Oryctolagus cuniculus: one gene and its partner. The protein of the gene in region 1 purifies or fractionates together with the protein of each later gene. This does not show direct contact. Links are inferred from orthologs where the notes say so. Each region holds a gene or a part of one and is shown in the gene's direction. Other genes may lie near its edges.

Region 1 (4,686 bases):
CTGTGCTTCTGAGGGTGAGAATCATGACTGCAGAAGCACTCCCCCCGACTCGAATTTGTGCAGAAGGGCCTGCACCTTCTGAGATACGATGGAAGAGCCTAGTGTTTAGGAGAATCGACGTGTAGATATTTTAGGTCCCACTGCGTCCCATTACCCGGGATGACCGAATGTGCTGGATTTGCACATGACTTACTAAAACGTGCATGGCACAATGACAAGTCAACAAAGCGACGCACAAATCCCACGCTGATACCAGGACCTGCTGCCCTGCCTTTGAACACCACGATGCTCTCTGTAGGGCTCCGTGGGACCACACATCTCTCTCCAAGTCTCCATGGTCTAGAGACGAAAGCAAAGAACCTCTCCCCTGTGAGAACTTGTCTTCCAAATGTGACCTTCCCATCAAGGTTCAAAAGTACCACCCACAGGAGAGCTTGCTGGGAACGGGTCAGGAGGCTTCGTTTTCCTGGAAGCCCAAGTGGCGCAGACTCTGCACTTTCCAGAAGGTTAAGGACTTGGGAATGGAGCTGAGAGGGCCAAGTTGCACCTTCTTCCCTGATGTGGGATGTTTCATACCAGGCATTCTGACCATACCCTTGGGCCACCCTCTGCTGCTTTCCCAGGTGCATTAGCAGGGAGCGGGATCTGAGGTGGAGCAGCCAGGACTTGAACCGGCACCCATATAGGATTCTGGCCTCGCAGGCAGTGGCTTAATCTGCTATGCCACAACACCAGCCCTGGAAACCTTCCATTTTTAGTTGATTGGGCAATAGCTCAACAACGGCATTCTGTGGTTCTTCTCCATTCCTACTCTGCTCTAGGGATTTTAAAGAGCTCCGCTCCTGCTGTCATTGGTGGGTTTTCTCCTCAACGACATCTGCTCCAGGACTGTGACTATGAGAACACCGCATTTCCACACCTCATAAACGATTGTTCTGTGTGGTGGGGTGCTATTAGTGGACTCAAGGCATTCACTTGGGGTGACACCGAGTAATTGGCCTCAAGCGAGAATTACTCAGGGAAAAGCTGACAAGCAAAGGAGACAGTGGGAAGGCAGAGTTTCCTAAAGGAACAGCCTCTCTGAGAAGCAGTTTGCCAGGGTTTTGACTGCAAAGGGTAGCAAGTGTGCATGGTGGAGAGCGAAGGAGACGGGCCCTTCGTGCCCAAGCCACAGCCGTCTTCACTCACTGCATACATAAGCCATCACTCCTGTTTTCCTTGGCTGCTGGGGGTCTGGCCCGTCTGAGTGCTGTTTTGCAAGGTCAGCCTTCCCGCATGGGCTCTCTGAGACCAGCTCTGAGGAGCAAACTGTGTCTGCCTCTCACCCTGGGTTGCGCAGCTTGGGTCACGCTGAGCTCCATGCTTTTGGGGAGGATCAGTCTCTGTTCTGAATCAAGGGCGGGGCTCCGTGGCTCCCATGCCACAACCTTGTCCATCTTAGTCTGTCTCTCCTCCCCTGGGCCCCACCAAATGCTGATGTCACAGAACCAGTGGGGACATCATAGTTGAGCCAGGGACAATGAGCTGTCCCTGGAGCTTTGCAGTGGCTCAGAAGAAAGGGAGGTGGAGCAGGAGAGAAAATGGGAGGGCAGGGGGTGGACTGAGGGGCAAGACCAGGGGGGAGCCAGCCATGCCCACCCCAACAACCACCACACCGGGGGAGGGGAGAGGTGGAGAACTGGGAGGAAGCGAAAAATCAGCCAAGACTCCAAAGTTGCTATGAACAGGGACTTCCTCACGAAGTCTGTGGAAGCTGGATGGGGTCCTGATGATTCACCCTCCAAATGGCGGCGAGAAGATTCTTTTCGGGTGGCCAAGGTACAAGGCAGGCAGGGAGGGAGGGTGGAGAATGATGACGCTTCTTTGAGAGCTGTCCAGGATTTGTTCATTTTTAAGGTTTATTTAGTTATTTGAAAGGGAGGGAGGGAGGGAGAAAGAGAGAGAGAGAGACAGAGAGAGAGAGAGAGAGAGAGATCTTCCATCGACTTGGGTGACTCCCCAAATGGGTACAACCTCCAGGGCTGGGCCGAGCCAGAGCCAGGAGTCAGGAACTCCATCCAGGTCTCCCACATAGGTGACAGGGGTCCGTCTTTTGCTGCTTTCCCAGGCATCTCAGCAGGAAGCTAGATCAGAAGTGGAGTAACCAGGACTTGAACTGGCACTCATGTGTGATGCTGGCAACACAGATGGCGCTTGACCTGCTGCACGCAGTGCTGGCCTCCAGGGTTTTATTTTCTTTTAAGATATATGTATTGATTTGAAAGGCAGAGTGACGGGGGGGGGGGGGGTGAGTTTCCATCCACTTGTTCCCAAATGGCTACAATGGCCAGGACTGGATCAGGACAAAACTGCTCGCCAGGAGCTCCATCTTGATCCCCCATGTGGGTTACAGGGCCCCAAGCACTTGGGCCATCTTCCACTGCTTTCCCAGGCACATTAGCAGGGAGCTGGATTGGAGGCGGCGCAGCCAGGACTGGAACTGACGCTCTAATGCGGTATGCCAGCGTCCCAAGTGGCGGCTCAACTGGCTGCGCCACGACACTGGCCTCAACTGTCCAGGGTTTTGTGTCGGTGTTTCCCTCACGTGGCTTTCCCCAGCACAGCCTCACTGAAGGGTGCCAGCAGGGACGGACACCTGGGGAGATCAGAGCTCTCTAACAGGACTCTTGGGGCTTCCTGGTCCAGTCTCTGTTCATTGATTTGCTCCGGGCCGTTGTCCAGTCTTCTCAAGGAGTTCTGTTAATCCGTATACGTACAATTCCAATGCATACAATTTTTCTTCTAGTAGTTGCTCTCATTAACTTGGGGAATGCCAGGGACGTGCCCTCTGGAAGAATGTGCCAGCCTAAAATACCGAGTGTGTTTTCCTGGAGCTCTCCAAGTTGGAGTCTGCAGAGTCTGATGGCTGTTGGTAGCACGAGGAATGGTAGGGACGAGAGCCGCGATTCCAAACCAGGACCCCTGGACGGCCCACAGCACCTTTGAGAAGTAGGTGACGTTTTCTTCGGCTTTTTCCCCCCTGCCCTTGCCCCCTCCTCTTTCCCTTCCTGTGTTCCAGGGGGTTGAGGTCGGTACCACGCTTAGATACATACTGAGTCTTGCAATCATGCTTCAGGGATTTTAGGAGAGTGGGCTTTTCATCTGTTCTGGTTTGTTCCTGAGTTGGGGAGGGGTGGCGGTCAACAGCCGACACCCACGCCCAGCCCCGCGTAGGGAAGCGCACACGGCTCGGTTCCTGAACCGCTTTTTTCTCCCTGGATGCCCTGCCCTTCTTTGATTGTGGAAACCAATGCAGAGTCAGTTCTCCTACACCTGGCAACGGCATCACTGGGAACAGCTCCAAGGGTTCTCCTTTCACGGAGCGGGGTCAGGACCTTGCCCCCCCCCACCGGGGAGGAGACCCCAGCCCACCCCGAGCCTGTGGGGGCCGAGGGCGGGGCTGTCGCTGGGGCCATCTGTTTTCATCAGCTCAAGCAGGTTGGCAATTGGTCATGATCACTGCTTGCCCCTGGAACAGACCCCCAGACCCTCTGGGATCCCCGCCCCTTCTCCCTCAGCCGGGCGCGTCTTTGTAAGGCCAAAGTCAGCATTTTGGCCCCTGCTCAGCGGCTTTTAGTGGTTCTCCAGAGCCTTCAAGGTCCAACAGCAACTCTCCGGGGCCATCTCAGGCTGCCGCCTGTGGGTCCCCACCCGCCTTCTTATGGTAACCATGCAACAAACCCCTCGCCTTATCTGATAACCTGCACAGTGAATCCTGAACCGGTTTTGAGCTCTCCCAGGGCCGCAGGTTTGATAAACTTGTCGCTCCGTCTCTAGCCCAGCCCCTCCTCTGCTGCTTGTCCCAGGCAGCGCCTGCAAAGTCCGGATCAGACCCCAACTGCTTAGAGCCGGAACCCTCCCACAGCCCTCCCCCTCTGCCCAGACCTCTCTAGCCTTTGGGTCTTCAGGAGTCATTGGCTGGGAAGCAGACGTGGCCCTCAAGAGCCAGTTCTGTGGGATTTGGCTGACCCAAGCTGCAGAACTTGTACAGGTTTCCCCAGTGCTGCTGCAGCAGTCTGTCTCTGTCCCGGGATCCTGCCCAGGACCCTCACCGCCTCCGGTTGTCGGGCCGCCTGTTTCCTACAGTCCCTGAGGCCGCCGCCTCCTCTCACGATGCCGACACTCCACTGGCGACACCGTCAGAATGGCCCTCGGTCTGGTGTGCATGTGGTGTGCTGTGTGGTTAGAGGGAGGTTGGTACGTGTCATGGTGAGGCCATGTGCCCTTTCCAGGGTGTCCTGCTGGGGCCTCCTAGGGTCACTGGGTGTCCCTGGAGGTGCTGGCCTGGGTCACTTGGTGTTTTGCTGCTGAACCAGAAAACCATAGCCTGGGTAATTGACAACGACCAGTTCTGTAGGCTGGGAAGTCTGAGACGAGGGGCCAGCCCCCTGGAGGGGTTTTCTGCTATGTCATAAGGGTGGAAGAAGGGCAAGAGACAGAACCACAATGAGGGACCAAATCTGTCCTTCCACAGGGAACCCACTCCCACGATAATGGCCTTTGTGGACCCACGAGGGCCGTGCCCTGTGACCCTACGGGCCACACCCACAACACCACCGCCTGTGGACTGTGCAGCATGTTCTTAAGGTGGTATGTACCAGGCTCTTCTGCCGTCCTGTGGCCTGGCCCAGTCTACACCCCGTGCCT
Region 2 (4,178 bases), on another chromosome or scaffold:
CCAGTACTCATATGGGTGGGATGCTGGCATCCCAGGCAGTAGCTTAACCCTCTGTGCTACAGTACCAGCCCCATATATATTAGATCTTTCAATATTATCCCACATAGTTCTTTACATCTGTTTTACTTTTCTACTTTTTCCTGAATAATTTCTAATGACCTGTCTTTAAGTTGTGTGAAATATTCTGAGAAACCACTGATTGAGAACAGTGTTGCAGGTGGTGAAAGTATTTACCAGCAGTCAGAGAGAGAGAGAGAGAGAGAGAGAGAGAGAGAAGAGTTAGATTTATTAAATAAACTGAAAGGAGGCAGGACAGATAGAGGCTGATGAGTGCTGCAACTTGGATTGTAACCTGGGAGATACATATCTGAGACAGATTGCCACTGGGTAAGTGTTTTTCCATCACTGGTGATTTCTTTATTGCTGGATATTTTGACTAGGGACTTCCTAATTGCCAGATGCCCAGGTGACCTACACAAGAAATGACCTCTAAAGCCATAAAAAGATGTGGAGGAACCTTAACTGCATGTTAGTAGGCAAAAGATGCCAATCTGAAAAGGCTATATACTGTGTGCTTCTGACTATGTGACATTCTAGAAAAGGCAAATAGATGGAGACAGGAAAAGACCATGAGTAGAAAAATAACTATTATTTACATTTTATTTCCTTTTAGTTATTTTTCTTCTTTAAAAATATAATCATGGGGCTGGCACTGTGGCATAGTGAGTTAAGCTGCTGCCTGCAGTGCCAGCATCCCATATGGATGCTGCTTTGAGTCACAGCTGCTCCACTTCCGATCCAGCTCCCTGCTAATGTACCTGGGAAAGCAGCAGCAGATGGCCCAAGTTCTTGAGCCCCTGTACCTACAGTCTGGCCCAGCCCTAGCTGTTGTGGCTGTTTGAGGAGTAAACCAGCAGATGGAAGATTTCTCTCTCTGTAACTGCACCTTTCAAATAAATAAATCCTTAAAGAAATATATGTGTATGTAGTCACTATGTCACTGTATAGACAGTTTTTATTCTGACCATTTTAAATACTTGATTGTTATGAAGTGTTACATTTTTCTCATTTAGAACTCTTCATGGTTTACCTTGAATTTGCTGAAATGTTGAATGTTTCATTTTTTATCTTTGTCATTTTGTAAACAAAGGGTAAACAGTATGTTTTTATTTTATAATTCCTTTTATATGGGTTTTTGATAGTATAACAGCACATCTAAATAAAATAGCACTTGTGTTCTAGAAATTAGCATTGTCCTGTTCTTGTCATTTCCCACATGTATGATATTTAACTGCTTTTATTTACTGCAACACAGGTGTGTTTTATTTTTTGATTCAGCTCATAAAGTATGACAATAACATTTATAAAACGTGATATACTAAGTTACTGTTTGTGATTGATCTTGTCTCAATAGATTTGGGATAAAACCAGCCTGGAATGTTTGAAAGTGTTAACAGGACACACAGGCTCTGTCCTTTGTCTGCAGTATGATGAACGTGTTATTGTAACCGGTTCTTCAGATTCTACTGTGAGGTGAGTGATCTAGCTTCATCGCTCTAAAATTTTAAGCGGAGACTGAGAGTCACAGCTTCTGGGATTGGCACACACACTTTGTATTGTTTAACTTGCTGTATTTGTATTTAACAAATGTTTCATTTTATTTGAAAGGTGGAAGGGCCAGCATTGTTGTATAGCTGATAAAGCCGCCGCCTGCAATGCCGGCATCCCATATGGGCACCAGTTCATGTCTTGGCTGCTTCACTTCTGATCCAGCTCCTTGCTAATGTGCCTGGGAAAGCAGCAGAGGATGCCACCCACATGGGAGACATGGATGAAGCTCCTGGCTCCTGGCTTCGGTCTGGTCCAGCTCTAGCTATTGCGGCCATCTCGGGAGTGAACCAGTGGACTCTCTCTATAACTCCGTCTTTCACATAAAATAAAATCTTAAAAAAGAAAGGTGGAGAGAGGGAGCAAGAGAGATATTTTCCATCCACTAGTACACTCTCCAAATGCCCACAATAGCCAGGGTGGGGCTAGGCTGAAACCAGGAGTCCAGAACTCAATCTGGGTCTTGTGTGGTTGACAGGAAACCAAGAACCTGGGCCATCACCTACTGTCCCCCAGAGGACATTAGGAGGAACCTGGAATTGGAAATGGAGCCAGGACTAGATTCCAGGCTCTCTTATACAACACGTGAGCATCCTAAGCAGAATCTTAACCACTGTGCCCAACACTTGTCCCAGGTTCCAGAACCTTTGAGAGACATAGGAAGAGTAAAATCTGAGTGCCAGATAGCTGGCTAGATACTTTGTATAATATTATACTCTTAGGTTCTCACATCATCCTTTACCAAGTTGGTAGATACTAGTTTCATTTTTATAGATGGATTAGGAAACCACAGCCAGAGAGGTTAACTAGTTTCCTCAGTCAAGTTGGGACAAGGATATTTTCCCCCAGCTGGAGCTGGGTGTAGATGAGTCCATCTGAGTAGAGGTCCTTAAGTGACGCCTCAGCTGGACTGTCTGCTGGTGGGCTGGTGGCTGGAAGGGAATGTGGGTCTAAAGGAAATCCATCTTCTAGGCTGAATCAGGTACTGGAAGAGGGCTGTTTTGCAGTGTGCCTCAGAGGGATAGCAATAGCCCCTGAGTCTGTCCCCGGGTTACTGTATTCTCCATCCTCTTTCCTCTCCTCGATCCTGTGGCCACTAGTCTCATGCCACACTCTCGGACTTCCCTGTTCCCCAGCTGACAGCAAGCCCAGGATCCCCTTCCTGCCCTTGAACTTCCAGGCTGCTGCTTCTGCCAGAAATCACATCTCAGTCCTAGAGACCAGAGCCTTCTCCTCCACTATATGTGAACTTGTCATCTTAGGAGGTTGGGGTTATAGAAAAGCCAGGCTATGGCAAGACCATCCTTAAAAATCTTGTATCTCAAATATGAAGCAAGTAGGAGACCCTGGCTTTGTCCATAAAGCATTTGAGTACAGAAATGGGTGTGGTGTTGGATGAGATATCATGACTTCTAGTTTCCAGTTTACTTGTAAGAGACCTAGAAGTCTGTTTGTTAGAGGTCACCAAGAACTGCACTGTTCTCAATTCCCCAGCCGTTATACCTCCGTCTTCCTGCCATCTCAGACTCACTGCAAAGCCTACTTCATTGAGCAATCATTCATCATCAGCATGAACCTACAAACACTGTCCCTGAATACCTGACTGTCAAGTCAACCATCTCAGTACTTCTCAGCAAATAAATTGTTTCTAGGGCTCCTTGTAATCCTGTACATAGGTACTTTTAAGTATAGACATAGGGCAGGGCTGGCAGTGTGATGCAGTGGGTAAAGCCACTGCCGGCAGTGCTGGTATCCTGTATGGGTGCTAGTTGGAGTCCCCACTGCTCCACTTCCAATCCAGCTCTCTGCTATGGCCTGAGAAAGCAGTGGAAGATGACCCAAGTGCTTGGGTCTCTGCGCCCACATGGGAAACCCAGAAGAAGCTTCTGGCTCCTGGCTTCGGATTGGCCCAGCTCTGACTGTTGGCAGCCATTTGGGTAGTGAACCAGTGGATAGAAGACCTCTCTCTCTCTCTCTCTCTCTCTCTCACACTGCCTCTCTATAACTCTGCCTTTCAGATGAATAAATAAATAAATCTTTAAAAAAAAATGGATACAGGGAACAGGTATTTAGTCTGGAGACATCTGTGTCACACATTGGAGTTTTGGGTTAGGTTCCTGGCTCTACTTCCTGACTTCAGCAGACCTTGAGAGGCAGCAGTGATGGCTCAAGTAATTGGGTTCCTACCACCCATAAGGGAGACCTAGATTGAGTTTCAAGCTTTTGGCTCTGGCTGTTGCAGGCATTTGGGGAGTGAGCAAGTGAATGGGAGCTTCCTGTCTGTCTCTCAGAAAAAAAGAAACAAACAGAAAAAAGAGTGGACTCAGTTTAGAGGACAGAGTCTTTTCTTGGCTTTCTCAGTAATTGAGCAGCATGCATTTCTCTTTTCATTTAGAGTCTGGGATGTGAACACAGGTGAAGTTCTCAACACATTGATCCACCACAATGAGGCTGTACTGCACTTACGCTTCAGCAATGGACTCATGGTGACCTGTTCTAAGGACCGCTCCATTGCCGTGTGGGACATGGCTTCGGCCACCGACATCACTCTACGCCGTGTCCTGGTTGGC

Evidence for each region. Proteins that work in one complex are often made in the same cells at the same time.
Region 2: the proteins of LPIN1 (region 1) and FBXW11 purify together in Homo sapiens (affinity purification with mass spectrometry; 4 studies listed by BioGRID and IntAct, with this or other methods). This does not show direct contact. The link is inferred for Oryctolagus cuniculus from reciprocal best matches to the Homo sapiens genes LPIN1 and FBXW11.

The regions. Positions count from the first base shown.
Region 1 is NC_091433.1:191,043,030-191,047,715, reverse strand, and holds the start of LPIN1 (phosphatidate phosphatase LPIN1), read left to right. Parts: upstream 1-1,560; 5' UTR 1,561-1,719; coding exon of another isoform or gene 1,720-1,818; intron 1,819-2,785; exon of another isoform or gene 2,786-2,788; 5' UTR 2,789-2,988; intron 2,989-4,513; 5' UTR 4,514-4,615; coding exon 4,616-4,686. UniProt on the Homo sapiens protein: Acts as a magnesium-dependent phosphatidate phosphatase enzyme which catalyzes the conversion of phosphatidic acid to diacylglycerol during triglyceride, phosphatidylcholine and phosphatidylethanolamine biosynthesis and therefore controls the metabolism of fatty acids at different levels.
Region 2 is NC_091437.1:58,576,073-58,580,250, reverse strand, and holds part of FBXW11 (F-box/WD repeat-containing protein 11), read left to right. Parts: intron 1-1,414; coding exon 1,415-1,533; intron 1,534-4,003; coding exon 4,004-4,178.